Linked DNA regions of Arabidopsis thaliana. The protein of the gene in region 3 interacts with the protein of the main gene of each other region in a pairwise test. Each region holds a gene or a part of one and is shown on either strand. Other genes may lie near its edges. The genes, in order: EIN2, AT5G63190 and EIN4.

Region 1 (11,709 bases), on a different chromosome or scaffold from region 3:
GGCTATAAAAAAGGCTCCCAAAAGAAGATTCGATAAAGAATTGGATTTTACGATGTTCAGAGATGATCACAGATTGCCTTTGTGAATTCCGTGGTGGTCGAACTACCTCCAAGATCCGCGGTTCTGTATTTGCCCTCTGCTATGGTGTTGATGATTGCACTGTGGATTTGTTCTGCTTGTTCGTTGAACTTCAGGTGACGCAACATCATCACTCCACTCAGAAGCAACGCGGTTGGGTTCGCCAAGTTCTACATCACCCAAAACAGAAAGACAACAACAAATTTAAAAATCACACATATTAATCTTTCAACATTGGATGCATAAATGATACTCTTTAGCCCGTAAATGATGAAATTGGAATGATATATTGTTTGAAGGACCAACCTTTCCAGCGATATCAGGTGCAGAACCGTGAACTGCTTCAGCAAGGGCTACACCATCTTCTCCAATATTACAACTGCGTCAAAGATAATAAGGCCTTAAGATGATGTAGCTCATAATCATACTAAAGATCACTATTACACAAGATGAAGGAACAAGTGTTTTTACCTTGGAGTCAATCCTAGTCCTCCAACCAATCCGGCACACAGATCGCTAATAATGTCACCGTACAGGTTTGGCATCACCAAGACATCAAAAAGTGCTGGGTTTTTCACAAGCTGCAGGTATCTCAAGATTATCAGTCGCATATTCCACATGTAAAAACAGTGGAAAAGCAGAACTCAAATACAAGTTGCTAAGAAACCAAACTTCTAAATCTACAAGGTGATCCCGAGTCCCGACCACTAACTTAATTAACGAAAAAATAGTAGATTCGGTGTCATAGCTTACCATCATACAGCAGTTGTCAATAACGACCTCCTCGTAAGTGATCTCAGGATACTTCTCAGCAACCTCACGACAACACTGAAAAACGGAAGCAAAATAAAAATGGTCTCAGAACAAAATGTAAAAAAAAAAAAACTAGCAGAAATAACAATCATTGCTTTGATCCCTCCGTATAAGAAATGCTTGGAGTTATAAAACGGGCAGACCTTGAGAAAGAGACCGTCAGTTTTCTGCATAATGTTGGCTTTGTGGATAGCAGAAACTCTCTCTCTTCCATGAGTCTTGGCATAGAGAAAAGCATACTCTGCAACTCTCAAACTCGCCTGACGGGTAATGATTTTAAGACTTTCCACCACACCTCTAACAACCTATTATATGCGTCAGGAGAAAACAAAACCATCATTAGAATCATTTATTAGAAGAACTAACCTGAAATATTCGATCAATAGACTTAAAACAAACTAAACCTGATGTTCAAGGCCACTGTATTCTCCTTCCGTGTTTTCTCTGATGGTAATGAGATCAACATCATCGTAACGAGTTTTGTAACCAGGAAGACTGTAACAAGGTCTAACATTGGCATATAGATTAAGCTCTTTCCTAAGAGTCAGGTTCAAAGAACGGTGACCTTTCCCAATTGGAGTAGCCATTGGACCTTTCAAACCAACTTTGTTTCTACGCACAGATTCGAGACTTTCCCATGTCAAGAAACTCTGTGTTCTCGGATCTATCTCAGTCCCAACATAGTGTTCTTCCCACTCAATTGGTACACCAGCTGTTGTAAACACCTGGATCAGTACAAAACGCAAAAACTATCAACAAAATTGCCGAATTCCCACAAATTATCGTACAAAATTCAATCAAACAATTATCTCGTAACTATGACTTCCAGAACTCGAAATTCTGCGCAGAAAAGAGATTAGGATGAGGGACCTTTTTGACAGATTCGGCGATCTCGGGACCGATCCCATCGCCAGGGAAGAGAGTTGCGGTGATCGGAGTGGTGGAGGAGCAGAAAGCCCTAGCGACAGAACTAGCCGCACCTGAGCTAGAGTTCACGGCTCCAAGGATCTGAGTCGATCGGTTTCCGATCAGCCGTCGCGCTAGATTTGCTGCCATGGTCATCGCTTCAAGCACCAAAAGGACGCAGCAAATGAAAAATTATTATTCGAGAGAGAGAAAGAGAGGACTTTTCTGCGTTGTGGGACAAAAGTTGTAAAAGAAGAAGCGAATATTTCTTCTTCCGTCAAAACGCTGCGTAGTTTCTAGGTTGCATTAGGTGAGTACGGAATTTAAACGGCACGAAGTGTTTCCTTAAACCCCAGGCCCAATAAAGAGTTGTTTTAAAATTGGTTTCAGCATCGGCCCAATTACATCTTATTTAACACACAAACTACATATATAGAACGTTTACGTAATACGTAAGTATTATTACGTCATCATACATACACTAAACCGGCTCCGGTGGCTTCTCCATAGCTTTATGCGGTGGTGCAGGTGCCGGAAAATTAGCCAACGGCGGTCCGTAGTGTAACTGCGACGTTGATTGAATCCCTTCTCTCCGGCCGATTTTTCGTCCGATGAGATAAAAGGCGATAGCGACGATCAGAAGGAGAAGAATCGCCGGGAACGATATGTAGATTACATAACCCATTGGATTAGTTACTCTGCTGGATTTTCTTAGTTCCCCAGAAATTTGAAGGACTTTATGAAACAGTAAGACGTTTCGAGAAGAAATATTGATAAGGACACGTGTCAGTAATCTAGCGTCGATGTGTCAGCTACGTGCAGAGATCCGGTTTAGGAGATTTAACATTTCAAACCGACGATTTCTTTATGATTCCGCATAGAATTACACAAACCGGATTCGGTTTGTAGCTATGGTCCTATGATGATGATATATGTATATAAACATAACATTACAACCAAATTAAGAAAAAAAGAGCGAAAAATTCTGAAGCAACAAAAATCCATTTTTTTTCTTCTTTTCTTAATACACAATTAACGAAGCAGAGGAGCAATCAAAAGCGAGAGTTTTGATTCTTCGGCTTCCCTCTCGACGTCACTTTGATCATGAGATTTCTCACAATGTTCTTCTTCTTCAACCCAATGATCCGTACGCAGTCACGTTTTTTCTTGAACCGGGTCCATCCTGATTCATACCTACTGGTTTATTCGATAACCGACGTTTATACCGCTTCAAAACCGAAGCCAAATTCTCTTTCCCCTTTGGGAAAGCCACATCACCTGCAGCTGTACCGGTTCGGCCTTTTCTACAAGAGATTGCCATTTCAACGTCTTTGATTAGATCAAGAAGTGTGACTGCGGTTGTGCATTTGCCTTTAGCCGGTTTTGCAGCCGGAGGTAACATTCCGTTAGCTGAAGTCGGACTCGCTCTCTGGTGGCTCGCTGGAATCTGAAGGCAAAAGCACGGTGTCATTGGTGTCCGCAGCTTTGAGAACGCCGGATCAATCACTCCCTGTTTAAATCCATACATGTCAATATTTTCAAACTGCAAAACTGTGATTTTCAATGAACTACTGCGGTTTTTGTTACCTGTAGGCGGTTGAGAACGTAAGTGTACTTTCCCCAAAGCTCAGGCCGACTCTCCATGAGAGACAAGTCAAGGACACGGTGAATGCACCAAACTCCAAAGCTCACAATCAAATCAGCTCTCCAAACGCAACCATCTCCACAGTTAGGAACCGATGAAATTAGTGGCTCCCCCATGTGACCCACCTGGTTTATTTCTCGAGCTTCAGCTTCATAGATAAACTTCTCTCGTGCAGCTACCCGGTCAATCAGTTCTTCATCAACTCCATCGCTTTGTCCAAACAACCACTCGGATCCTTCAAGTTTAATAAGCTTTAGAATACAGTGCCTGAACGACTGAAGAAGCTTAGCCTCTGCATCAACATTAGAAGAAGCGTTGTTGTCTATATTGATCGGATTCGATCTATTCCTGAGCTCCTCACCAACAGCACCATTCCTCTCCGCTACACCAAACTGCTCAAAGGGCTGTCTGGACCAAAGCGATCCGGTCCCTGTTGTTGCACTCTGTGGCAAACTGTAGGCATCTCTGTAGCCTCCTCTTGATTGAGAAATGTCATCATAAGTCGAGGGTACTCCCACCCGTGACCCCAAATTAGAATATAACGATGATTCATTGCTTAACCGACCATAAGACGCACCATACCCTCCTCCTCCACTTGACGGATCCCAGTATCCACTCTTGTTGTTTGGTAAATGCATGTTCCTTGCGGACATAGACAATCCTGAGATATCTGGCATGCTACTATATTTTTTCTCATTGGCTACTGCTGCGCCAACAGTATCAGTATTGCCAGAAGATGGAACACCGTAATAAGATCTTTCAGATTGTCGCGATATGCTTCTAGACCCAGCAAAATTCTCAAACCCAGGAGCTGGTCCAGGGGTTAGACCATTCTGGGACTTCTGTTTCAAGGCTAAAGCAAGTTGCTGTGTATAGCTCAATGTACCAAGCGCCATAGATCTCGATGTCGGGATCTCTCCACGGGATTGTAAGGCTTCAAGCCTTTCTTTTGCCAAATTGTCTACATATGACTTCATCTGGTATCCGTGAACTGTAGCTGGTTGTTGGTGTTCCCAACCCTCTGAAGATGATGGAGCACGCAGGCTAGAGTATCTTCTCTCACTCAATTCGTAAGCATTATTATTATTAGTGGTGTTACCATATGCACCCAACATCTGCATACGGTTGACCAACGGTGACGGTGACGAACCTCTTTGTAATCCATACAACGAATCGATACTTCCCGGTGTCCTCTGCTGCTTCAGTGAATCATATAAACTTGAAGTCATCTGTGAATCCATTCCCTTCGCAGTTGGTGACATGCAATATCCACTGCTAATGTCTTTTCCAAACGAATCTGCTTTCATAGAAGAGGCTGACTTTTGATCAGTGCCAAACAGCTGATCTAGTTTCTTTGCCCTGGCTTCAGCAACCAATTGCCCATGAAAATCATATAAATGTCCCCAAAATTCATCAAGGATCGCAGATAAGTGTCTCCGGGCAGCACGTCCCAAACCTTGCAACCGTGAAAGGCTTCCAGTCCCACTTCCCCCTTCCCCACTTAAGCTGCGGAATGAAGGAGGACCATCAGATCCGACAGTAAAGTTGCTTGTAGGAGCAGCTTTGGTAGCTTCTTCTGTTTCCCATGAAACCCCTTCAACATCCTTTTCAATAAACTTGCTGTTATTCTCCATGCTAACAATCTTCTCCACAGGACTCATTGGTTCAATTTTCGCCATCTTTGTTTCAACAATCAGATCCTTATCACTGACCTCATTAACCACTGTTGACTGCAATACAGACTGTTCCTTTACATCAGAGTCTTCCTTAAGACTACTAACTTGAGAGGTAGAGTACTTTACATCCAACTCTCTTTCCTCTGGAGGGCTCGAACGGATTTCTTGATCCGTCATTAGAATGTTCTCTGGCAAATCATAGACCGAGCTAGTAACAGACGTAGTATCCAACTGATCCTTTACCCTGCTTTCCAACCGCACTATTGATTCGTCTTCGTTCCTCCTTGTTTCTGTTCTTTCAATTTCCTCTTCTTGAACAGATGGATAAGATAAAGCATTTTGAGCATCCATGTTCCATATTTGAGCTTCCGCTCTGTTACTCGCAGATTTCAGCGGCGTGGCTGCCAGCCAGAGTATCAGGCATAAGGATGCACATGACGATACAAGCAGAGTGGTGTACTGAATCGAGGTGCCCATCACGGTATTCCATCTCAAACCACCAGCCCAGTCACTGCTCCCAAATACCATCTCAACAACAAAAACAACATTCAACCCCAGAAATCCCAAAAACGTTGTAAGTGCGAGGAACTCGCCAACCTGAGGGATTTTATGGACACCCATGATTTGTCTCGACGAAGCAATGCGGAAAAGCGGTATTACCGAGCAAGGAAGCATCATTGCCACCAAGACCTGGGTGAATATAAGTAACTGGTATATTCCGTCTGCACCAGATGTCCATACACAATAAAGCGCAGGAGCAACTGCAAGAATTCTGATTGTAGCACGATGAAGCCAAGCGGGTATTTCTATCTTCAGGAAGTCATGCAGGACGACCTCTCCACCGAAAGCCCAAGCTAGTGCGGTAATTTGACTAGAGAAGAACAAGAGCATCAAAAAGACCACTGGAATGAGCGGACTCATAAATACCTGTGATCAACAATCAAGAACAAGATAATTAATAATCACGAGAGATTTCTGAACATTTTCCCTAAAAATGAATTATAGACTAATACGAACATAAAACCGTCAGAACAAACCTGCTCCATTAGTGACAAGGCATCGTGAAAAGTCAGTACCACAAGGCCAGTACTGTGAAACACATTAGCTGCTGCATTCATCAATACATAATTTACAAGTGACAGTCCGCTGAAGACACCAAAGATGGCGAACAAATGGTCTTGACACAAGCTGCTCTTGTCGACATCAGACGAAGATGTACTTTCCTGTAATAGAGCGTTCACTGCTTAGTATAATTATTGCTTCTTAACAGAAAAGAGAGATACATATAAAGAGAAAAAAGGTACCCCAGCAAAATAAGAATGGATATAAAAATTGTGAGGGACGATGCTTGCGCCAAGAAGACCCATCAGTGCGAATGCGCTCTCTCCATTTAACCGAGTTAACACTCCATTCATAGAGAGTGGGATCTCAGACTGACTCAGCAAGACGCCAGATACATAGAGAAGTAATACCAGGCCTGCAGAGTAAATGGATACTGTATTTGCCATACCATTTTCCTGTCAGAAATTGTATGCATGTCAGCTAATTTCCAATAATGCTATTTCAAGAACGTGGAGAAAAAAAACAAGACAGGAAGACCAGTCATACAAGGAAAGAGGCGAAAACAGGAAATAAAAACGCATCCATGGCGGCCAAAAACACTCCAGTGGATAACTCCACCCCAAACAAAAGGTTAAGTGCATGCGCAACTCCCACAACCTGTTTATAATAGAGAAGCTCAAGTCAGAGGAATCAAAATTTTATCACATAATAAAAAAATTAAGAACAGCAAAGATTGTAAGTAACTACCATGGTAAGGTCGAGCAGAATTGCTGAGAACTCCGCCTGAATGCCCAAGAACATGCACGTCCACTTGTCATATTCTTCATTGCAGATCTGTCCCAGTAAAGAACATTAAAATGTTAGAAAAATAGAGAAGGTGGTTAGTAGAATTCCACTTTGAGAAAGTGACAAGACAACCACAGAGCCCAGTTTGTTATTTTAAAAAGTTTGTTCTTTAGAGATCAGAAAAATGTTTACCTGAGCCAAGTGTTTACCAGTCACAACGCTTATGCGAGCTGCAACATATTGGCATAAGATGGCGGCAAAATTGAAAAGCAGAGTAATTGCCACCAAGTCATACCCGAAACGAGCACCTCCTTCGATATTTGCAACCCATTTCCCGGGATCAATATATCCGACAGAAACCAAAAGGACAGGAAGTAGAGCAGGAACCATTCTCTGGATAAACCCTAGCTGAGGTCTCACATTCACAATTTCAGCTTCCATCCTAAATCTATCTGATAATATAATTACTCAGAGTAGGATTCAAGGTCAACTCTACAGTCGTGGTTCACTAAAAGCCTCAGTTGAGTAAAATTCACAGATTTGATCTAAAACACCTTCCCTCGCGAAATCTGATTCCCTCCAAAGCTAACACACAACAACGAATCAGTCGGTTCTTCTATCACCGAGGCAAACAAAGCCACTCTAACGCTTACTTGTTATACAACTCTGTACAGTCTTTCTTTACCTAATAATAGCTGAAGTTTCCTCTAGTAACCAGATGTTAAGTTAAGGACCAGACCTTCTTCTTATTTGCTGCTTCAAGGAGAGAGATCATACAACATTCAGCTAAGTTGGTCCAAATGGAGGAAGCCCTAACAGAGCAACCAAGAGCAGAACATAGACTTCCATATGCTTAACCACTACGGATATCTCCAAACCATTCGAAATCAGCTTCAGACCTGAATTTTTTTTTTATGGTGAAAATCTTCAGATACAGTAGTATTACAAATCAATAATTGATCTTAGTATGAAGCAGCAACAAAAAGAAGATAAGCTCAAAAAAAATACAAATTTCAACTAAACTGAAGCTAAAAGAATCGTAACGCTGACGAAAAGCAACAAAAATGCAAAGATCCCGTATGATCTACGCATTCAGATCTTCAAGGAAAAAAAAGGTCAACCACAAACCAAGTACAGTAGTAAAAAAGAAAAAAGCTTAAATCTCGCAATTAAAACAAAACCCAGAAACCGAAAACAATCCCGAAGAACTCCAAGTCTGGAAAGTCCAGATAATGAAGAGGGAGAGAGATCTAAGCTGAAACTACGAATTCGATCCACCTGATGAAATTATAAAAAGCTGGAAAAAAAACCCAGAAAGTCTCATTTGCGCAAAAGCCGAGGGAAAAGCTACAAAAACCCATGAAAGTCCGTACAAAGCCCCCCAGCAAAATAAAAAAAAAAACAGAGGATTAGGGTTTTTGAAAGAAGTCACCTTCGAAATCGCCATGATCGCAAGTTGACCTAACAACAATAGTCTCAGTGAGAGAGAGAGAAACGGATCTTCAAAAGAGAGAAACTCTTATCAAGCTACGAGAGATAGAGATAGAGAGAGAAAAGAAGAGGAAAGAGAGAAAGAGCTCAGTTCCATCGAAAGAGAGAGATAAAAGAAGATCGAAAAATCAATTATATAAAATATTTATATATAAAAAACGTATACATACATATTTGTATCTATAGGTCTGAAGGTTATGGGTGCTCGTGCCACCTTCAAAGAGAGAGAGAGAAAAAAAAAATTATTACTTGTAAATAACATGTAAAAATAAAGGTATTATTCTTTTTTTTCTTATAGCTAAAAAAACGTCTTTTTAAATAAATTTTCCAGGTTTAACATATAGTTTCTTTAATCCATCTTTATTAATCTTTTTAAACTAATCGTAGTTTATTCCATGGACGAAGAAGAGAATTATTATTACTTTAAATTTCTCGACCCCTCTTTCTCCTCATTACATGTAATAATAATACATCAAACAGCTTGATTATGGAGTTTCAAATGGAGATTATTTTACTTGATTTTGTGAAACGCTAGCTAAATTTATTTTTGTACTTTTGATTTGAGTAATACAAAAATGTTGTTTTCTAGCAATTTTTTTAATTTTTATTAAAAATTTAAAGGGACGGTTACAAAGCGAAAAATAATATAAACGTGACTAACTTTAAGAATACGAACAAAAAATAAGGAATCAAATCTTCTAACTCGCAAAAGATTACATGTGTCGAGAAGATTTGAAATTTTTTGTTACATTCGAGAAAAGTTTACGCGATTCTCGCATACTATAAAATTCAAATCTTAAACAAATAAAATTGTTTAAATATTGTATATATAACTTTTGGCTACCTTTTTATTAGAATTAAAATCCAAACATAATTTAGATCTATTTATCTTATATTAGAGACCAATGTCTAGGAATTTTTTTAATGATTTACTTATTTTAGTATTAAAACAATCTTTAAAATTTTACAAAAATACATGAATAGGTTCTATTATACATTTCAGCGTTCTGCAAAATACTGAAATTATAATTTTCCTTTTGCATAAATATAATAAAAGAGAAATCAAAAACTTTATTTGAAAATGACGTTATTTGAGAAAACTAACTAAAGTTGATGATACAATTAGGCGTTATCAAAAGCTGAAGTTGTTGACTAACGAAAATGGAAAAATAAATGAAGGCGTTAGTACCATAAATATGTAAAATCGGAAATGAGAACAGGATTCGACATTATACTCCACAGAATGCTATAAATAATACGTCTTTATATAGCAAGTTTTTATTTATTCTGCTGTATATGTATTAGACATCAATATTAATTGCATAGAACAACTATTTGTCAAAAATAAGAATTCATGGCCTTCCCTCAAATAGAAAAGAAACAAAACAAAAAAAAACATTTTGTTTTATTTGTCTTTTGATCTCAACTAAGAGCTTGATTTCATTAAATCATCATTGAAAAAACAAATACACTCTACTTTTAAACTAAACAAATATCATATACGAATTTCCATTTTATACAAAATATGTAGTTGGATACAAAATAATAGCTAGATTTTGTTATCACCAGTTATAATAAGTCATTAAGATTTGTCAATAGATTCCAATAAATGTATCATTTTACTAACGAAGAAACAGTTACTATAGTTAGTTAACTGAATCATATTTTAGTATGGTTATATTGATTGATCAAACCATCCTTAACCGAACTATCCAAATCACAAAATCAAACCCAAAACCAAAAGAAGAAAACAAATATAAATAGAATTTCTACTATTTTTGGTCAAATATAATCCACGTGTTCCTAATCATCTCCTACATCAATGGAAGTACAGCTTGGGCTTTCGATAACCATACATTGTACCTTACTATTTTTTCCAATTTGATTTCTTTAGGCTTTTTTTATGTAACTTGTCACTATATATTTAACATACTCAACATTATCCATATTCTCTTGTGAAAGTATATATACATGTACATTGGATAGGAAGCAAATTAAAACACAAGAAACTAAAATTTTGCATCAATGAAAGGAACATGGGCTCCTCTCAGTCCTATGTTGATGTATATGTTCAATGAACCATAACATAGAGACCACACTTGTTTTTTTATAACACTATAAATATATATAGAAACAATATTCTTCAAGTACTTTTGAAATAACACATACGAATTTTTTTATCCGTACCGATGAGTAACCAACACAATTTAAAAGTTTGACTGAATAAAAAAAGTCAGAATTCTTCAAAGAGTCAAGATAGTCATATTTCAGTTACATATGGAATGTATAATGATATCATACAAATAAGTTCTTTAATATGTTTTGACTAATAAATCAATTTCAGTTATTTAGTTTGGTCATAAGGAAGTTTTTTTTTTATAAAGTCTCGTTGATGTTGTTTGGGCAGTTAACCAAAAAGGGAACAAAGCTACATGGTACAGATCATTCATCAGCTTAAAGAATCTTTCTTGTCGATCTTTTTTTAACTAGATTGTGATCTTTTGGGCTTTGTGTCCAAATATTTATTTATTAGTACTATCAATCTATTAATAAAATGGATTTTTGTTAACATAACCTTTCATTAGTGTAAGGGACAATTTAAATTATTTTCCTTCTTGGTTCACTGAATCTCTCTTGGGCTTAAAACACATGGTGGGTGGGTTCATAAGAATTGGAGATTTGAAAATTTTAGTAATTAACCTCGAAACATGAGACGTCAGTTACAAATCAGAACTCGTTTATTGTTCAATTAATTGGTTCGATTCAACAAATGTTTTCGTTTAATCAAGTGGGTTTTCTTTATTTTTGTTCTTTTTTTAATGTATGTGAGTTATTACGTGGAGACCAGAAGAATAAGATCGAATCGGGGATGTTTTAGGAGGAGACATATGAATTTTAAGTAACTTAAACAATTCGAGATTATGTAATGATTTTCTATAATTAAAGATTGCTTGGCTCAGGACTTTAGATCGAAAGTTGTAGCTCAGACAAATGTTTTTGGTAGTAAATTGAATCGATTTGATCTACACATTCAAACCAAGAAAAATTGATTAGTAATATAAGTGGTAGCTAGGTCTTTCAACAACCAAGTGTTGCAATCGATATTAGTGTTTAGGTTGGCCCAACAAATAATAAATTTAGCTTGGGTCTACGTAACATTTTTAGAAAAATTGAAGGCAAATGATCTATTCTATAATCGGAAATGTCAAAACAGCCCCTTATATCCAAAACCATCGGACCAAAAATTTACAG
Region 2 (9,399 bases), on a different chromosome or scaffold from region 3:
ATTCACCCACGCATGGGCAGACTTTGGATCTGATCTTAGAGCAGCCAAGAGACATTCCTTTGCGACATTCATAGGTGCCTTCTGATCTTCAGAAGCATCAGCACCACCATTAGCCCCGGCACCTGACATCAATTGAAAATACATTCACATGTTACAAGTGAAAATACAGTTTACATAAGATAGATTTCCCTCTACTTTTTTCATGTGTACTTTGCTTAGGCAGATTGAGAGGAGCAAACAATTTAGAGGTTCTTTGATAAGAAACAAACCAGCAACAGTTGAACTGTGTTTGCAGAGAAGCTCGGCAGCATAATTTATCAAAGCGGCAGGATGGTTATGGTCTTTCAGTACCAAATCTTGAAAACATTTTGCTGAAAGCTCCATATCGCCACTGGAAGACTTGTTCATTAGAGTGAAGTATCACGATAATAGTTAGAAATAGAGGGGAAGAAAACTCCTCACCTTTGAAGATAAGCAACTCCAAGGTTTGCAAGGCAATCATAATTGTCAGGAACAAGAGCCAACAAGGATGACAAAACTGATATGGCACTCTACAAATTAACAAAGCAAAACTATATAACAAAAGGAATGACATTGATAATCAACCAACATGGTGAGGAAATTTACCATCAAACAACCAGCTTTGAGAAGCATTAAACCAAGGGTATTCCACACGGCTGCCTGTCTAACATCTAACTTTATAGAATCCTTTAATTTTGAAAGAATTTCTTCAAGCTCTTCTCCCTCAAGCTCTTTAACAGAGTCAGTATCCCCAAAACCATCCAAAAGAAGACACTAAAATGTTTTCAAGTGTACAATGTTAAAACCTTCGAGTGAATTGTCAATAAACTAAGGAGCTCTCGAATACAAGAACTTCAAATATGAAATTTGGTTCAGACACAAAGATCATCACCTGTCCATGGTGAATTTGAACTAATAAGAGAAGTTCTGGCCGAGCAATTTCTGGCTCACAACCCAGTAAGATCTCTTCAGCTTTCTCATATTCTGGTATCGCCTAAAACCTCCTAGCAGTTAAAATCACTAAGATGATAATTATTCTAAGATACATCAGAGTACCCTCAGCTCAAGCGTACCTTTTGAGATTGGCCCAATCGTTGAAACATAAGACCAAGTATAAAATGGGCATGAGCATTTTTGGGCATCTTCCTTGCAACATGAATCAAACCCTATAAGCAGAGAAGGAAAATCAGAATTTATATAGAGCATCATCATCATGAAAATTAGACCAATAATCAACTGCGAAGAGCATTATGAATATAAGAGGACCATCATCATTCTTTCTCCAAATGTTTAACGATGAATGCATTCTTGGCAACTTTATGAAATCCTAGCCCCAATATGACCAAGCACACTTTCTACGATACTATGAGTCAATAAACTCACCATTTTGAGGTTACTGATTTTTTCTTCCCGGGATGCAGGGACCCCTTGATTAGCCAGATCACCATCTGCATCAACTCCACAATCAGAGGAAGACTCAATCTTACTTCTGGAGCGGCATTTTCCCACCTTGCTGATCTTTTTGGCTTCTACTTCTCCTGGTTCCACCTCCTTGCATGTTAATATACCTCCCTCTTGATGACTTTCCTCGTTACTCAACCTAAAACACACAAAAATGTATTTAAGTTAAGAATCATGAAGCTTCTCCTATCCCCCAAAGCAGTAAGAATCAAACTCTACTTATCAAAAAAAAAATTCCCCATTTTTAGACTCTTGCTGAAAGATATCCAAAGTCTCGATTTTTAGATTTTGCGGCATAAGAAGACATCAATATATTCAACCCCGTAACAAAAATGTCACTTCAAACATATGTTTCTTCCGAACAGAGGAAAAAAAAATCTCAGCAAAAGAAAGTTAGTCGAAAGCAACAGAAAGAAATAGGTTAATTAGCTGAAACACACACAACTACGTATGTAGAAGTACCTAGTGATGGGAGGAGGAGTAGGGATTGGAATGGATGAGTCAAGATCATCAGTCTCAGGAGGATTGAAATTAAGGTCAGCTAAAACTACAAGCTTTAGAGGTCGAGAAGGAGAGTCAACGGTCATGGGTTCGCATTTGACGGCGATCGTCTCCGGGCGGTCCATTGATGGTGCTGAGTACGCCGGACAGTAAAGTTGAGCAGAAGAAGAAAGAATCAAAACAAATATAAAAACGAGGATAAAGCTGTTTGGCAACGAGTATTGGTCTATCCTTTTGTTTGCTCTATCCCGGAACCGGAGTCATAATTATCTCACCGACCGAACAAATATATTTTTATTTATCTTTTTATAATTTAATTACCATATTTTCTATATTTATAAATAATTTTCATAAAATATCACAAGAGTAATAAGTTAACACAAATTAACCATGCTAATAACTTATTTTCAATGTAACAAAAATCCATCAGAAATTAGAACACACTAAAAGATATCAGTACAAAGACAAAACACAACAACCAGACAGAAACACATGAACATATAAACATCTCATGTTTATCTACTAACTGAATCCATACATATATGTAGATAGTGAGGAAAGTATCGTAAGCACAAACACAAGAAACTGATAAGAGAACCACTAATCACTGAGTTGCAGAAATCCCAAACTCGGGAAGGATCCAACCATTGTCCATGGCATGACTAGCATACAGCTCAAACTTCTCTTTCGCGTTCGGTATATCAAGCGACAAGTCATCGAGGCTGTCGTTAACACGACCAAACCCTTTCGTCATTTGGTTAGTTGTAATCAATCCTTCACCAAAACACTCCTCAAGCAGATTCAGTAACCGATCATTCTGCTTCTCCATTGCCATCACCAAAGCTTTCTTCACTACTTCGTGGTTGAAAAAAGGCATCCCTAGATCGCGGATACATTGACAAGCTTCTGATGTTACTCCTCCTGTTTCGTATTCTTCTAGGAGTTTCGAGATTTTGTCCTTTGCATCTTCCACTATCCAGCCGGTTCCACCTCCCCAGCTTCTTAGGAGTCTCTCTCCTGCGTGTCTGGCGGAGATAAGAGACCTGGCTGAGCGGACTGTTTCGGTTCCGGTTGATTTTGGAGGCAGCTTGGTTGAGATATCTTCAAGGTTAAGTGGAGCTAAGACGTCGTCAATCACAGCTCTAGCTAAAAACAGAGCAAGTTCGTTTGATGCGTCCATGATATCTAAAGCTGTGTCTTCTGCCGATTCCAGGAGCATAATGAAACCGTTTATGAAATCTTCAGTTGAGAATAGCTCCATGTGAAGAGCAGAAAGAAGAACCGAAGCCATTTCCTTTTCTCTGTTTTTCCTGTCTAGAGCAAGAGTTATGAGCCTCTTCAGAAACACCGGGTTATATTCAGGTGCCCCTAAATCTTGAAGACTGCGGATTAGCTCAGGAATGTCATCTGATAAGAAATATTCCTGAATTATGTTCACTGTATCCTTCTTGTACTGTCTTAGCTTTCCGTCTTGACTCGATTTTTCTCCATCTTGATCAGAGGTTATCTTAAATGAATCATCGAGCCAGCCTCCAGAAATAGCCTTTGGAACTATCGAATCAAACAGCTTTTTGGCAGATGGGATATCTAGAGCAAGGTCATCGAGACTCTCTGCTACTCGGAAGAATCCCTTCACCATTTGACTCGAACTGATCAGTCCTTCTTCAGCAGTTTCCTTCAACAGCTTTAGTACAAGTGACTCAGCGGTTGGAGAATCCATCGCCAGAACCAAAGCCCTCTTCACAACCTCATGATGGAAAAACGAGACACCTAATTCCCTGATGCATCTACAAGCTTCGTAAGTGTCTCCGTTTTCCACGTATTCCTTCAAGATTTCAGATATCTTTTTCTTCGTTTCTTCTACTGTAGTGTGAGTACTACCTCCCCATTTCTTCTCCACTAGTTCTGCATGGTGAGGAGCTGAGAGATAGCTCTTTTCTGCAGTTACAATAACCTGAAACCCTTTGCAAGATTCTGGAAGAATCTTCTTAGATCTAACCAGAAAAACCGGAGGGAGAATTTCGTCAACGATGGCCCGTGCAATAAACAATGCAAGGACATTAACAGCATCAAGGATGTCCACCGCAAGGTCATCAACAGATCTGAGAAGTCTTATAAATCCATCCCTAATTTGATCAGGTAAAATAACATCAGCATACAATGCAGAGAGTAGCACTGAAGCCATTTCCTTCTCCTTATCGTGTCTGTCCATGGCCATAGAAACAAGTCGCTTGGTGAAGTAAGGATGATATTCGCTTGAACCAAGTTCCCTGAGGTCAGATGCCGCCACTTTCACATCCCCGGTGCTAAAGTATTCGTCAATGATGGAAACTACTGACTTTTTGTAATCATTCAACGGGTCTGATACCGGTGAATCAACAAGTCCATCATATGCGTCCTGTTAAATTGAGTATATGAATGAAAAAAGCAAACTACTAATAAAAGATAAAATCAAGGGATGTTAGATACACTAAAGAAACAAGGAAAAGTATCCAACACAAAACAAAAGGCGCAAATATGAAAGTACCTCTCCACTATCGTAATTGGGATCATTCTTATCAATACAGGAGTCACCATCATCAGTGTCAAGAAGCTTTCCCCAAGTTCCTTTGCCACCAGCACCCTCTGCAGATATCATTGCCACATAAGTAAACCATATATCACCTACACACTTGAACTCTTCTACTGAAAACTTAAGTCTTTTCACTAAAGCAAATTTGAAAGGAACTAATAAAGAGTCATATCACTCCCTAAAAGGATCTATTAGCCAAATAACAAGCACAAAAGGTTGAAGAAAGTTTAATACCCTTCTTAACACGAATATGCTTCCCTGAGTGAGTACGTCGCACATGCCTATTAGGAATCCCAGCAACTGGTCCTTTGCCACCAGTGGGAGACTTAATGTTCAGATCAGCAAAGAGAGTATGAGATTTAGGCGATGATGACAAACTTCCAGAATTATGAGTTGCTATTTCAAGCTTTTTCCACTGTCCATCCGTCAAAATTCCCTCACCCGATGCCATCTACAACATTAAAACGACCATTAACTCATAAATCAAATACAGAAATAACCTCATAATCACTCGAACCAACCAAAAAAACTCTTCCTTTTTCCCCAAACTCCTAATAACGATCAGTAAGAACATGAGAAATTTGTATCCCAACGAAATTTCTTCCCATTCAATGATAAAACAAAGAACATGAAACCCATAAACACTGTGAATCATAAGAACACACACACAGTGATATTTTCCACGATTTCTAAACGAGAGACCTTAAAACACTCCAAAAATTCGATTAAGTAAACAAAACATCACAAAGAAGTATGTATACAACTATACAAAACAAAATCTAACCTGTCATACCTGTGATCGCAGGAATCAAATTCCAAATCGTGAAACAAAGTCGTCTTCTTTACTGCTTGGCTCGGATCTCGAGCCAAGACAGAAAAGATAAGGAATCGGATCTCCAGCACCGGAGAAAAACGACCGGAGAGTATCAAAGTAGATAACGATCAATTTATCACTACAAGAGAGTCGCAAAGATTCAAAAGTCACCGATTCCCAGACAACGACGAGAGAGGAAATGGATGAGGATCGCCAATAAAAGTACTACTTTACAACAATATAATAAAGTTTTGTGCATTTGTTTATATACGATGGTACACGTCATCAACGTAATACGTGGAGGGCTTAGAATATTTCCTTCTTTTTTTAATTTAGCCTCCAATTTTTTTAAAGATTTTAATCCAAAACAATGGGCTGTATTGGGTAGGTTCGGCCCATTGAATTAGATATTTTGGGCTGGACAATATCCAATGGTTGACTACGTTAATAAAAGTTTTATGCTTCATGGAATCATATTATTAGATCATGGCCATCATGTTTATAGTTTTAAAACAGATATGGATATTGTATTTTATATTTTTCAAATTATTATGACTAAATTATATCAATATTCATTTTAAATTGTTATTTTAGTGAACGTACTATGTGTATAAAAAAAACAAAAAAATTATAACACTGATAAATGAGTAGAGAAGAAGTTAGCAAGTAGTTTTCAAGCAAAAACCGGTCACATGCCCTTTTGTCTCTATTTTCTGATCCGACGGTTTTCTTTATATCTACCACCTTAAATCCAATCTAACGACTCTATTTCTTTATAGAAAGGTCAATTCTCTACATTTTTTCTTGTTTTTTTTTCACAAGACAATGTCATGAAACTTGAATTGATTTCGTATAGAAGACAAAAAAAACTTGTAAAGTTGAGCATTTGTTCAAAACATTAATTTGTTAAGTTTGCTTATCCAAATGATCAAGTTTCAGTTTGATAAGCCAATGTAGTCAATAATTAAAATGGTTGAATTAGATATTATCATACTCTATATTTAGTTACTTATTCAAATGCGTTCAATTATTTTTGTATTCTATGAATCATGTAAAAAGTAGTGAAAAATGTATATAGATTAGCTTTTGAGCGTTGAGAATATTCTGAAAAAGGAACATTAATGTCGATCGGTTCTCGTGTTTCATCACGTACGAGAACGAAATCATTTACTAATCGAATGAATGTCCAAAACTGTCTAAAATGTAGTGAGAAATGTCATTTAATTGTTTTCTGCAGTTTATGTACCAGAATACACAATTTGCTTAATGTATAAAATAATTTGCTACTAACAGTAATTTAAAAAAAAAAAACTAGACTTAAACTCATGATCCATATTTTTGCCCGAAGTGAAAATTCATCAACATGAATGGCTCTAGCAAAAAGAAAAATGTCGGCGAGACTTGTAATCGAATAGTTGATTAAGTTTTTAAAGACATTGTTCTTTTTAAAGTGTGGAGGAGGAGGAGGATATAGAGTGATGATGCAAATACTTCCCATGTGCATTGATTGTCAACACATTTTGTACCAGCCAAAATTTCAACATAGGGTCTGATTGTTAGATATGAATGAATACACTACTATTCTAAAAACGTTATATGAATTTAAGAAAATTATATGTGTAGAATTTATTGAAAGATTGGACTCGAGCACATGGTTCGGTGGTCCCAAAATCAAACCTCTATGGGCCAGTGTCGGCTCAGTTCTCCTATTCTATTGCTTTTGGTGGGTCTATTCTTTTCTCTTTTCCTGCAAGCAATATCTCTTTGAGACACCAAAAGAAATTCATTTTGTATAAAGATAATAATAATAACAAACACTCTAAAACCAACTTATCAAACAATTCAAAGTGTATCAAATATCGTATTCTTACAATTACAATCCATATACGTTTAGTTATCAAAATATGGTTTAGTAGATAGCAGAAACACTAAAGTATCTCGAAATGTAATACTTTACTATATGAGCTTTAACAAAAAAAAAAAAAAAGGAAAAAAAAAAAATCAGTTAAATTGAGCTAACTGCTATGCTATTGATAATATTCAACCGTTAAAACGTAAAAGTAATGATAAAGGTACAAAAATTAAACCGTAATATTAAATATTAGTACTAAAGTACATTACTAACACAGTGTTGACTTTTGGTGCACCGTACTTAGTGTTTCACCAACATTCAGCTTTAAGTTCGTTGAGATTTTAATTACGAGTTCTGTGTTTTTTTTCTTTAAGCCACGTGACTCATTCCTAGCGTTACCTGAATGTTGAATACAGTATTAAGTGCTATCGGTTTGATAATCTTAATTATTAGAACTGTTGAGCCAATTATATTTGTAATGATGGCTGATATTACTCCTTCCGTTTTTAAATCATAACCAGCTCCGTTTAGCTTGATCAGAATTACATTTCTGAACAACACTTTTTAGTTCAGCCAAACACTTTTTATCAGGTATCATGAAATTTGAATCTTAGGAAACATTTTGCATTATTTCTTCTTCTCTAAAATGACTTGGGTTGATTCCATTCTCACACACCAAAATAATTTCACAAGAAGAGGAAAAAGGTTAAGCAAGGTGGGTCCAATTAACGTCAAGTTGCATGCGCAATAAATCACCCGAAGTGTTCATATGCTATATAGTCTATCGCTTTGCTTTGTCTTTCTCTCTTCACTCATATGTTTCGTCCCAATTCTCTTTTAATACCTTCAAATTTATCAACAACAAAAAGCCAAAGAAACACAATGCTAAATTCTTCATATCTATCCTTCGCACTTATCTTTTTCTGCTGCATTTTGTTCTCCGCTCTCGCTTCGTCTTTGCCCGTTTCCGACCCTGAGCTTGTTGTCGAGGAAGTACACAGGTATATGTTCTAACAAAAATGTAAAAGCATTTTACATACACTCAAATAGTCAAATGTTTGGTATTAGATATTGCTTCCAAGTTCTTTCTATCCAAGGCTAATTTTGATCTTGATCACAAACTCACTTGTTACTATTGCTGCATTAATAGCTATGACTTATGAGTACGCCTAATTACGTACGTCAAGATTAATTAATGCTAATATATTGTCTGTTGGTTAATGCATTAGAAAAATAAACGAGTCCATATCAAGAAGGAAGCTAGGGTTCTTCTCGTGCGGGAGTGGTAATCCAATCGATGATTGTTGGCGATGCGACAAGGATTGGGAGAAAAACCGAAAACGGTTAGCAGACTGTGGTATCGGTTTTGGCAAGAACGCTATTGGCGGTCGTGATGGTGAAATCTATGTGGTCACGGATCCAGGAAACGATGATCCAGTAAACCCTAGACCGGGAACACTAAGATACGCAGTCATTCAAGATGAACCGCTATGGATCATTTTTAAGCGAGACATGACGATCCAACTAAAAGAAGAACTCATCATGAATTCTTTCAAAACCCTAGACGGACGAGGAGCCTCCGTACACATCTCCGGTGGGCCATGTATAACCATACAATATGTAACCAACATCATCATCCATGGTTTACACATACATGACTGCAAGCAAGGTGGGAATACTTACGTACGTGACTCACCAGAGCATTACGGATATAGAACGGTATCCGACGGTGACGGTGTGTCAATATTCGGTGGAAGCCACGTGTGGGTTGATCATTGCTCGCTATCGAATTGCAACGACGGGTTAATTGATGCAATTCGTGGATCAACGGCTATAACGATCTCGAACAATTATTTGACGCATCATAATAAGGTTATGTTATTGGGACACAGTGATACGTACGAACAAGACAAGAACATGCAAGTCACTATCGCTTTTAACCATTTTGGAGAAGGCCTCGTCCAAAGAATGCCAAGGTATTTTATCAAAACAGAATTTTTTATTTAGTATACCTATATTTGTGGATATATGTGTCACCAACTATAAAAGTCAAGTATATTGTCGGTTGGACATATTCTTAAAATAAAATAACAAAGCCAAGATACAATTACTGCTCTAAACTTTAATACGTTTCGTTCTTTAATAAATCTAAGATGGATCAACCGAAATAAGTATGCT
Region 3 (9,659 bases):
AAAGTTTTTCTCTTTGTTGGATTCTCCAATTTTTTATAGTGAGGTTAAGTGTGCATACATATATACATGTGTACATGATTGACGATCCTCATTAAATTAGAACACCTTGGGGTTGACCCTTTTTCAAATATGATTAGCATATACAGACTATATATAATTTGAAAATGATAAAATTTCAAGTGCTTGGTGTAATTCCTTTCGAAAGTTCATATATTTTCACTAAATGTATAAGATATTTTTCCTATAGTATATTTTTTTTTTGGTAGGCTTTTTCCTATAGTATATTACTAATATATCTATGTATGTCTGCATGCATTTATTGGATTGGGAATCATCAGCCTCACCACACTCACCTGGCCTCATTAATCATAAATTTGTGCTATAAATTATGCAATAAAATATTTAATCAATACATGTAAGGAAATTTGCCATGACATGCATGATGAATATACTAACCTTCTGAACAAAACAATCGGATTCTAACTCGGTTAATTAAGAGCGACATTGTTTAAGCAATGTACATCACTAAAAAATATCAATATTTAGCAAGAAAGGTAAATTCACTCAAAAAAGAAAAGAAAAAATAAATTCACTCCGATTCCGGGAAGTTGGTTCGAATCCAAATATATATACAAGGAATTTTATGATCTTTTGGTGCATAAAATAGCATTTGCGAAATCATCCCTACATCAGCTCCACTATTTTTAGAGAATACATACATATACATGTAATTCATGCAAATTCAGATTAAAATATTCGATTAACACACAAAGAGATAATGAATAATTGTTTTTTTTTAAGATCTATTCCTGATAAGTTACCCTAATTTATTTTTAAGTTCTTTTATTTCAAATGATAATATAAAATATTTAACATGTATATATATGCAGTGTCTTTCGGAAAATCAATGATCGGATTGAAACCTAATTAACTACTATTGAATTATAATGATTTTGTGAATCTGCAACGGTCAAATAACAAATAAGCGATAGTCAACCTCAAATAATATAACAAAACAATCAACTACAAAAAAAATATATGGCAAACTGCCAAACCAATGCAGCTAATATATATACCAGGGGAAAATAGTCCAATGCAACTATTATACCAAATATATATATATATTACCTCTTGTTGGTCTTCTTAATAAGTGTCGTCATTTTACCAATTTTCTAGGCTTTCTTGACCATCTTTTAATTAATAATCATAAACAAAGGTATGCCAATAGAGGACCATTTCACATGGTACCACATGGGTTCCTCTTGCAAAACGCAAACCCTAATGGACATGGTAATTGTTTGTTTAATATCCGTACTTTCTCGAGCAGAAATGCATAATACTTAAAATGATTTATGATTAGAGTGCTTTTGAATTTTGAATTACTCACATAAATTAGTCCCCTTTGCAAATGTATGATTTGAAAAATAATTTATCTAGATCCAAGTAGTCAAGCAGATAAACAACAAAATATAATAGACTTATCTTTTGAATTTCTTATATTTATCTATTCCGAAAACTAGTCGTTGCTATTAAGGTGTGACGAAAATTTACATATATAAATTAATCTTTAGGCATACATAGAGCAATATTCATATCTAAGTCCAACAAAGTTAGCACTTTCTTCTAATGATTGAGTTAACTCAATTTAAATAAAATAAAGATAATTATCAAATAATCAAACCTGATTTTCAGGTTTTTAAATTGTAATTTAAGTAATTTGAAAAACTAGAAATTTGAAAAAGTGTTGTGTAGAAAGATCAAATCATAATTTTCTTGTGATATTTTATCAAAAAGGAAGCCCTAAACCGCACTCAAAAGACAATAATAATTAATTAGCCAAAAGTTAACAAGAGCAATTAACAAATAATACTTTGAAAAGGAATCCATAAACGAGCATTATTAAAAGTATAACTAAGACCACAAGATAAAAGCATTGCTTAGGGGTCCTAAAAAAACAATATAAAAGGATTTTTAAAACAATTAGTAGTACGCCGAGGTACTGCTTATCACATAAAAAGGAATAATTTTATAATTCCCAAGATAAATATCCGTTGTAGATGGTCCTCACTTTAAATAACACTCAAATGATAAATTGATAATGCGTATATGCATTTTTTTGTTAAAAGTTTTATTTTTCTTAATTTTACATCTTAATATATTGATAGTAGAAAAAAAGATTGAAAATTAGGAATAAATTGATATCCAATAACCATTACAAACTTCTGATTTTCTTTTGTCAATTGTTTGAGAGAAACGAGAACTGAATTAAAGCTAGAATGGGGATTTATTTTTTGTCGTTTGGTATTTGTTAATATCCAATCCAAATAAGTACATTTTAAAAAATTCGAACATCGATATGTCGAACATAATTTATAGCGTTACGTGATGTTCGTTCTTAAGACTACACAAAGCATTAAATAACATTAACTTTGGTGTTCGTATAGATACTAACATTTAGCAATCAAACGTTTGGTGTGGTGGTCTGGTCTAAACTTTAGTCTTTAAGAAAAAAACGTTTTTGCTGTCAAATAAAGTTTTTGCCGTCAAAAAAAGTATTTTTAAATAGACTTTTTGTTTATATCAAAAAACAAACAAAAAATACATTTGATAAAATACTAACTAAATTACATTGACAAAAAATAAATAATTAATAAATTTCATTTGATTTGATACAATATTATTTCTTTTTGGTTGACAAAGAAATGTCCAAAATATACAATGCTTGAAACATTCAGTCTGAATAGTAAAACTAAATAAAAAATGTCAAAAAATAGTAAACAAAGAATAAAAAGTTAGAGCAATAGATTAGAGAATACAAGCGATGAATTTTGACAAAATATGATGAATTTAATAATGAGATGCAAAAAAAGAATTGTATAAATATTCAGAGAGAATTTACTCAAGACAAAATTATAAAATTAATTATTATTAAATCTAATAAACTTATGTTATTTTTTCGCTAAAAATGCGAAATCATTACGTATAAATAGTTTCGAACCAACCAATCTCCAAACTAGGCTAAATAGAGAAAACTGACTCAATTCTCATCACTGTAGAACCGAGACAACAACAACAACAAAAACATTTCCCCAGAGAGGTGTCTCTATGCTTCACATCTTCAAAGAATCCTCACTCTGCTTTTCTTCGTTTCAAGATTTTTGCTTTTCAAGATTCATTGATATCTGCTTCCTTCTCTGAGCTCGAATCACTCGCTCGCGGTCTGCAAAGCCCGTCTAAGCTCAGAAGCCATAACATGCAAAAGAACCGGTTTCTGGATCATACCATTCATCCCCATTTGCAAACATCTTTCCCTAACATGATCTTCAGTACTAGCAGTCAAAGCTATAATCAATGGCCAATGATGTCCACAAAACTTCCTTATCTTCATTGCTACTTCGAAACCATCCATCTCCGGCATCTGCAGATCCAAAATCACAACTCTATACGACATTTCCACATTTGACAACGCATTCAAACACTCAAATCCAGACGAGACAGCAGTTACTTCGCAGCCGAGTTTCTCAAGAAGTCTCTTAGTCACGGTTCTGTTGACATCATCATCGTCTGCTAGAGTGATTCTTAGACCACGAAGAATGGAATTTGAATTCGGATGTTGAAGCTCTGGAGCATTTCCTGCTAAGATTGATCTCCTAATCGATGGTCTTGTCTGAAACCTCAGAACTAATTGCATACTCTGTGTTTGTCCATGCGATTTAGGTGATATCCATATGTTTCCTTGCATCATCTGCAAAACAAATTTCAAATCAAATACACTGTTTATAATTAGAATCTCTATATACCAAACAGAAACAGAGACATGATGAGATCACTAACCTGTGCAAGTTTTCTACACATGCCTAAGCTCAAGCCTTCCTTAATCCCATTGCTATGATATCTTCTGTTCGGAATATGTCTCATAGCCATAGCCGAACCATCCAATGGAGGATTCTGAATCTCATTAATCTCAACTTCAAATTTCACACCGAGGGAATCATCGGACATATGGGACTTCCACATTCCAGTTTCTCTTTTGCTCTTGTCCTGACTTGTTCCAGTACCTTCACAGATAACTCGGAACGTAACGGTTTTGCCTCCATCAGTCATATCCAAGATATACCCAAGCATATACATCACAAGCTGAAACGTTCTCTTTTCATCTCCTACTACTAAATTAGGCAACCGCGTTTGAACATCCATCTCAAAACCGTAACCTTTGTAAACGCTTAAGCATTTAGCAACACAAGCGGCTTCTCTTATCAAGGAATGTAGCTGGAACCGTTTAACCTCTAATGCAGATTTCCCGTTATCTTTAGGCGAAATGTCAATCACGTCGTTGATTAAAGCTGAGAGAACTGTGCTTGTTTTCATGAGCGCATCAACGATGATTTTCTGGTCAAGACTCATACTTTCGGACTGAAACATGGAGAGTAGACCAAGAATTGTGTGCATTGGTCTCCTCATTCCATGACTCATCACTTTCTGGCAAGTGTTCCTCGCTTGACTTGCCATCATCGCGTTCTGTTTTGCTCGAAGTAAAGCTCGGTTTTGAATACCGAGTTTTTCTCTCATTAACTGTGATTCTTCAAGAACTGAGGCATGAGAGATAGCAACCGCTACTTGATCAGCAACAACTTCCGCTATCTCGATCTCTTTATCGGTCCAAACCCGTGAATTCGCACTCGGAAGTACCAAAACCATTATAGCATAAGGAGTATCCACAAACTCGGGAGTGCCTCCTTTGAAATTCAATCCGTGAAGCATCGGCATCCGAATTGCAGCAACCGGTCCAAACTCTTCCGAACCGCCACAACCACTGCTCTCAACCGCAAGAACAGAGTTTTTCCTCAAAATTGTCACTACTTTGGTCTCCCTAACCTGAACAACATCGGGATCATTAATCGGGATTACCCTGAAACTCCTCATCGGATTCGCTCTAAGCTCATGAGTCAAATGCATCTCGGTTCTGTTCTCGTTAGGCATCCAAACAGCAGAGTTCTGTAAATCAAGAATCTTGGATAGCTCAACGAGAGTAGTCCGCAGAATCATATGCTTATCGAGCGATTTCCTGATCTCCCGAGTAAGCATTCTCACCTGCACACTCATTTCCTTCTGCCTCTTCATCAATCCAACCTCTTCATTAAGCTCCAACACATTCTGCTTCAAGTAAAGCTCTCTAACTTTCCATTTCAACAGCAACGGAATCAAAGTCAAGAGCGTGATAGCCGTGGCACACGAGACAAGCGCCGTGAGGAATTTAAAGATGGTAAGCCAAAGCATAAGCTGGAAAGAGTGTGGTCCGTAATACGTCCAAGCGTTAAGCAAATGAGTCATTCCACATAGGACAATAAAGGCAATGAATTGAACAAGAACCCATTTGAAAGGAACATTGGAGAAGCTAATGAAGTAGAGAAGCTCGAGAGGTATTGAGAAATAGGCAATGGCTATTAAGAGATCACTCACTCTTTGACATTCTAAGATGGTGTGGACACTTAAGAAACCTTCGTCGTCACAATTACAGCTCACGTAATCGTTATCACCAGAAACCAGAGCAAGAAGAGCAAACAGAAGCAATCCAAGACCTAAAGATCTTAACATCTTCTGATCCAATCTTTAATCTCTCTATCTAAAACCCTAATCAAATCCAGCCACAATCTTGAGGCTCTCTACAAGTTGAGATCCAATGAACCAATTAAACATAACTGACTTGGTATTCATAGATTTCCACAACGCGTAGAGACCAATGAGATTAAACAACTCCAAACACGCATACCCAGAAGAAGGCAAAGGAATCAAGATCTATGTTCCTCGATATTCGTAGTACTGAGAAAAGAAACCGCCTTTGAGTTTTTTTTTTTTAAATTCCAGGGGAAGGTAATCAGAGAAAAACGAAAGCTAAGATTCAAGCCAATAGAATAGAGAAAGAACACACCTCTCGAATCTAGTAAGATAAATAAGAAAGACCCATCTCCATTTGTAGCAACGAAATCGAGTCAATCTGACATCTTTTTCACAGAAGTTGGAGAAACAGAAGAAGTGATTAGAAAAGAGAAGAAACCGAGTTGGTCCGGTGGTGGCAGATCTTTTCCGGGAGTTTCAGTTGCGGATTTTCAGACTTGAGTCAACAATATTCAAAGTTTTTTTAAGACAAAAGCAGCAGACTTTTCGCTTAAGCAATTTCCGGAGAGTTGCTCAAGTCCATAAAAATGGTGGTGTTTCACTTTAAGCTTAGATGTCAACAAAAAATTCCCATTAAAGATAAGAATTTTTAACAGTAATTTTTGGCTTCACATAAGTTATAGCATTCCAACATTATCAATCAAGAAATTTACAAGTTGACAACTTGACATAAAGTTACCAAGAATTTTAAACTAAATCAATATTAATATGAATAAATAAACAGAATTCTCAAATGAGTTTTTTTGTTCTTCGTCAAATGAGTTAATGTTTTGGTCCAAGTAACGGCTCATAGGAACCGTTTACTAAATTAAGATAGGTTATGAATAATTAACATAAGTAGAAACCGAACAAACGAAGTGTATATATTTCACAAAAAGAGCATTTCCTTTTTTAGTAACAAACGAAAGAAAAACCAAAAAAAATATTATAAGAAAAGAAAAAGAGTATAAAAAAAAGGAATGAAATTGAAAGTGAAGGAGAATCGTTACTGAAAGTATAAAAAAAAGGTTGTGGAGTTAATATAATACACCGTACCAAGAAGAAGAACAAAAGCAATCACTCAGCAACTTCTTTCTATGATTAAAGACCCTTCAGACGAGTCTCTGTCTAATAAGTCCTCTCTCAGTTCAGATTCTTTGCTCGCCTTCTGTTTCTCTACTTGGGATCTAAACTCTACACACTTCTCCTGGAAGCTCTGCTAATCCGGTATTTGCTGCTCGTAATCTCCATTCTCCGACGACTCATGTCCTATCCTTCCTGCACAAGATTACATCCATCAGCGTTTCAAGCCATTGCCACAACGGAGAAGAGCTTTAGCCTGTAATCTTCTAGAACTCTACAAAATACTAATTTCCACCAATCTCCATAGCAATTCTAATCTGTCCTTGTTTGGATTTAAGGGTTTGAACTTTGATGAAGAAAGATGACATCTTTCGAGAAGTTTTGAGCTTTTTTGTTACCTGACAAATCATACCCGCCACCGCCTCTGCCATCATGACCGCTGTTGCCTCCTCCGCGCCATTCAGATGGCCTGGAATGTGTCATGTGTATCCCCTGCGGCGCTTGCATCATGAAATGATGAGGTCCACCCAAACCGGCTTGATGATGATGATGATCATGTTGCTCGTCGTTTCCCCTCATTGGATTTCTTCCCGTAGATTCCATACCAGGAGGGAAACCCATGCCAAGCAACTGTCCAGAGCTTACAGGAGAAGTTAACCGACTTCCACTGTTTGAAGCATCCCCTTTCCCACCACTCCCGGCGGCATCCTTCTTTCTATCAAGCTGAAACGTACCAAGAATCACCTGCATTTGCACAAATCTAAGGCGATCAATCAAAGCCAGACCTCCTATCTTAGGAAATGATCAGTTTTGTGTAAGATGGTTGGAAACAATAACAATGTTTCAATATATGCAAGTTGAAACTATGATACAACAGAATTGTACCTGAACCGGGCCAGCAGCTGTGAGATGGCTACCAATCGCTCCACCGATGATCTGACCATCTGAAGCAGATAAAGAAACGCTAAGGCCGCCGGATTTACCACCTTGTTCAGTTCGGATATAGGATCCAGATAGTGAGAGAATCTCGTATTGACCCTGAATAAATTTTTTGAAATTTGAGGCAAGTTTAACAATGATATGCAAACTTCAAAGAAAGTATCTGAATTAAGAATCTCTTTGCTTTATCAACATGCTAACTGTATTGTGTATCAATTTTCCTCTATCACACAGAATAGAGAGAAAGGATCAGAAAGAAAAAACCCTCCTCTCCCCTTTGGAAAGAAACAACAAAGAAGCAAGCTGAGTACTATTTTACTGCAAGAGAAAATCACCTCATATGGTAAGTTGCCTCCTGATGGAGCCGGTTGGCGCAAGGATGCATTAGAGATAGTGCCTGATGCAGAAAGAACGCATAGTTCATGCTTGCTTTGGTTTGCGAACATCATAATTTTCTGGACCACATCCTGACAGTATCACAAAGAGAACACTTAGAATCATTAAGGATCCTCCTCGATTTGCATTAGTATCAATGAAACAAAAAGAGAAATAGAATGACTTAGAATTGAAAGAATGATAGATATTGTGCCTACACCAACAAATCTCTATTACAAGTAAGGATCTTGAGTGTACAAGAACATGACATACCTCGCCAGGAGCTATATTAACAATATGCGGAGTAAAACATTGTCCAGTTTTCCCTGCACCAACAAAAAACTTGTAGTAAAGCTCAGAGTATAACACAAATTCCAGAATATAACTAAAGGATCACTTGAAAGATACTCAATGGGATCTAAAAAAGAAACAAATTGATAAACTATACAAACAAGAATCTAACTACACAATCTTCAGTGTAATTAAGAAACTCAAGATGTAAATCTACTGCTGTAAATTATACATAATGCTAATTCAAGGCACTTACGTCTCAAATCACACCAACGAATTAACAGCTAAAGAATCAAAATTTAAGAATTGGGAGATTAATCATTGACCTTAAAGTTGGAAACTTTAGATATCAAATTGACCAACGATAAGATTCAAAAGAAGAAAAGATTAAACCCACCGACAGAACCAAGCTGAGATTTCTTGGATGACCCGGAATTAGTCGATACCGTACCACCGGTAACAGCAGCAAGCTCTCGCCTCTGTTTAGCAGACGAACTACTCGCAGAAGACGCCAATTTCTTAGCCGCTAGGGCTTGTTCCGGCGTCACATACTTTCTTGGTCGACCCCTCTTCCTCTTTACCGGCTCCATCGGCGCCGTCACAGCCGAGGACGGAACTGAATGAGGGTACACCGCGAGAGAAGATGACCCATCATTAGGCTGGTGCTGTGGCTGAGGCTGCGGAGGGAAAAGCCCATTGTTGGAAGATGGAACGGCGTTTCCGGTAGAAGCGGTGGTTGCTACGGTGGTTGGAAGGTGGTGATGGTGCTGTAGTTGGTGGTGGAAGTAAGGAGAAGTGAGTCGTTGCTGCTGCTGCTGTTGCTGTTGCTGTTGGTGGAGGTGATGGAGCTGTTGTTGTTGGTGGTGATGGTGGCTTTCGTTAGGATCCATTCCTTTTTAGAGAGATACGCACAAAAATAAGAATTTCTAGAGAGAGAGAGTTAGGGATTTTTTTTCATTTTTTCTTTTTGCATTTTTTTTTGTTTTCTTTTAGGGTTTTATTATTTTATACTTATATATTAATCGATAAGAAGGAAGATGATGAGATAGAATCTCAACCGTTAGATCTTCTAGATTTGACTTAAGATGTTTTTGACTTATGTGTGTTAAAGCATCTCTTCTTTTTACCCTTTTTTATCTGTTTTTATTTCTCGAGGAAACAGAAATTTAATTTTTTCAGAGGGAAACGAAAGATCACTCACTCACCTTCTCAGTTTTTCACTTTTCTCTAGTCATTTAGTACATGGTTGATTTAACATATCCTCCAATTTCAAAGAAACCATGATTTGAATGATTAAAAGAAAATGATAAAGTCAA

The links.
Region 1: the proteins of EIN4 (region 3) and EIN2 come close enough for resonance energy transfer, tested with the Arabidopsis thaliana proteins (one study listed by BioGRID).
Region 2: the proteins of EIN4 (region 3) and AT5G63190 interact in a two-hybrid assay, tested with the Arabidopsis thaliana proteins (one study listed by BioGRID).

What each region holds. Positions count from the first base shown.
Region 1 is NC_003076.8:784,287-795,995, reverse strand, and holds EIN2 (NRAMP metal ion transporter family protein), read right to left. Parts: upstream 8,569-11,709; 5' UTR 8,399-8,568; intron 7,866-8,398; 5' UTR 7,408-7,865; coding exon 7,159-7,407; intron 7,015-7,158; coding exon 6,928-7,014; intron 6,838-6,927; coding exon 6,727-6,837; intron 6,636-6,726; coding exon 6,423-6,635; intron 6,342-6,422; coding exon 6,156-6,341; intron 6,046-6,155; coding exon 3,385-6,045; intron 3,308-3,384; coding exon 2,930-3,307; 3' UTR 2,592-2,929; downstream 1-2,591. Other genes in the region: IDH-V (isocitrate dehydrogenase V), read right to left, coding at 57-248, 385-457, 550-659, 832-906, 1,035-1,196, 1,296-1,616, 1,762-1,953. UniProt on the Arabidopsis thaliana protein: Central factor in signaling pathways regulated by ethylene (ET) and involved in various processes including development, plant defense, senescence, nucleotide sugar flux, and tropisms.
Region 2 is NC_003076.8:25,341,752-25,351,150, reverse strand, and holds AT5G63190 (MA3 domain-containing protein), read right to left. Parts: upstream 5,610-9,399; 5' UTR 5,349-5,609; exon of another isoform or gene 5,340-5,348; intron 5,007-5,339; coding exon 4,790-5,006; intron 4,609-4,789; coding exon 4,511-4,608; intron 4,423-4,510; exon of another isoform or gene 4,382-4,422; coding exon 2,588-4,381; 3' UTR 2,351-2,587; downstream 1-2,350. Other genes in the region: AT5G63200 (tetratricopeptide repeat (TPR)-containing protein), read right to left, coding at 1-122, 270-391, 463-551, 628-795, 914-1,015, 1,095-1,187, 1,405-1,621, 1,945-2,108; AT5G63180 (Pectin lyase-like superfamily protein), read left to right, coding at 8,038-8,222, 8,451-9,197. UniProt on the Arabidopsis thaliana protein: Involved in target of rapamycin (TOR)-regulated translation control, especially under energy-deficient conditions.
Region 3 is NC_003074.8:1,232,371-1,242,029, forward strand, and holds EIN4 (Signal transduction histidine kinase, hybrid-type, ethylene sensor), read right to left. Parts: upstream 6,247-9,659; 5' UTR 5,596-6,246; coding exon 3,835-5,595; intron 3,746-3,834; coding exon 3,206-3,745; 3' UTR 2,839-3,205; downstream 1-2,838. Other genes in the region: AT3G04590 (AT hook motif DNA-binding family protein), read right to left, coding at 6,875-6,933, 7,137-7,482, 7,624-7,776, 8,013-8,144, 8,326-8,378, 8,741-9,233.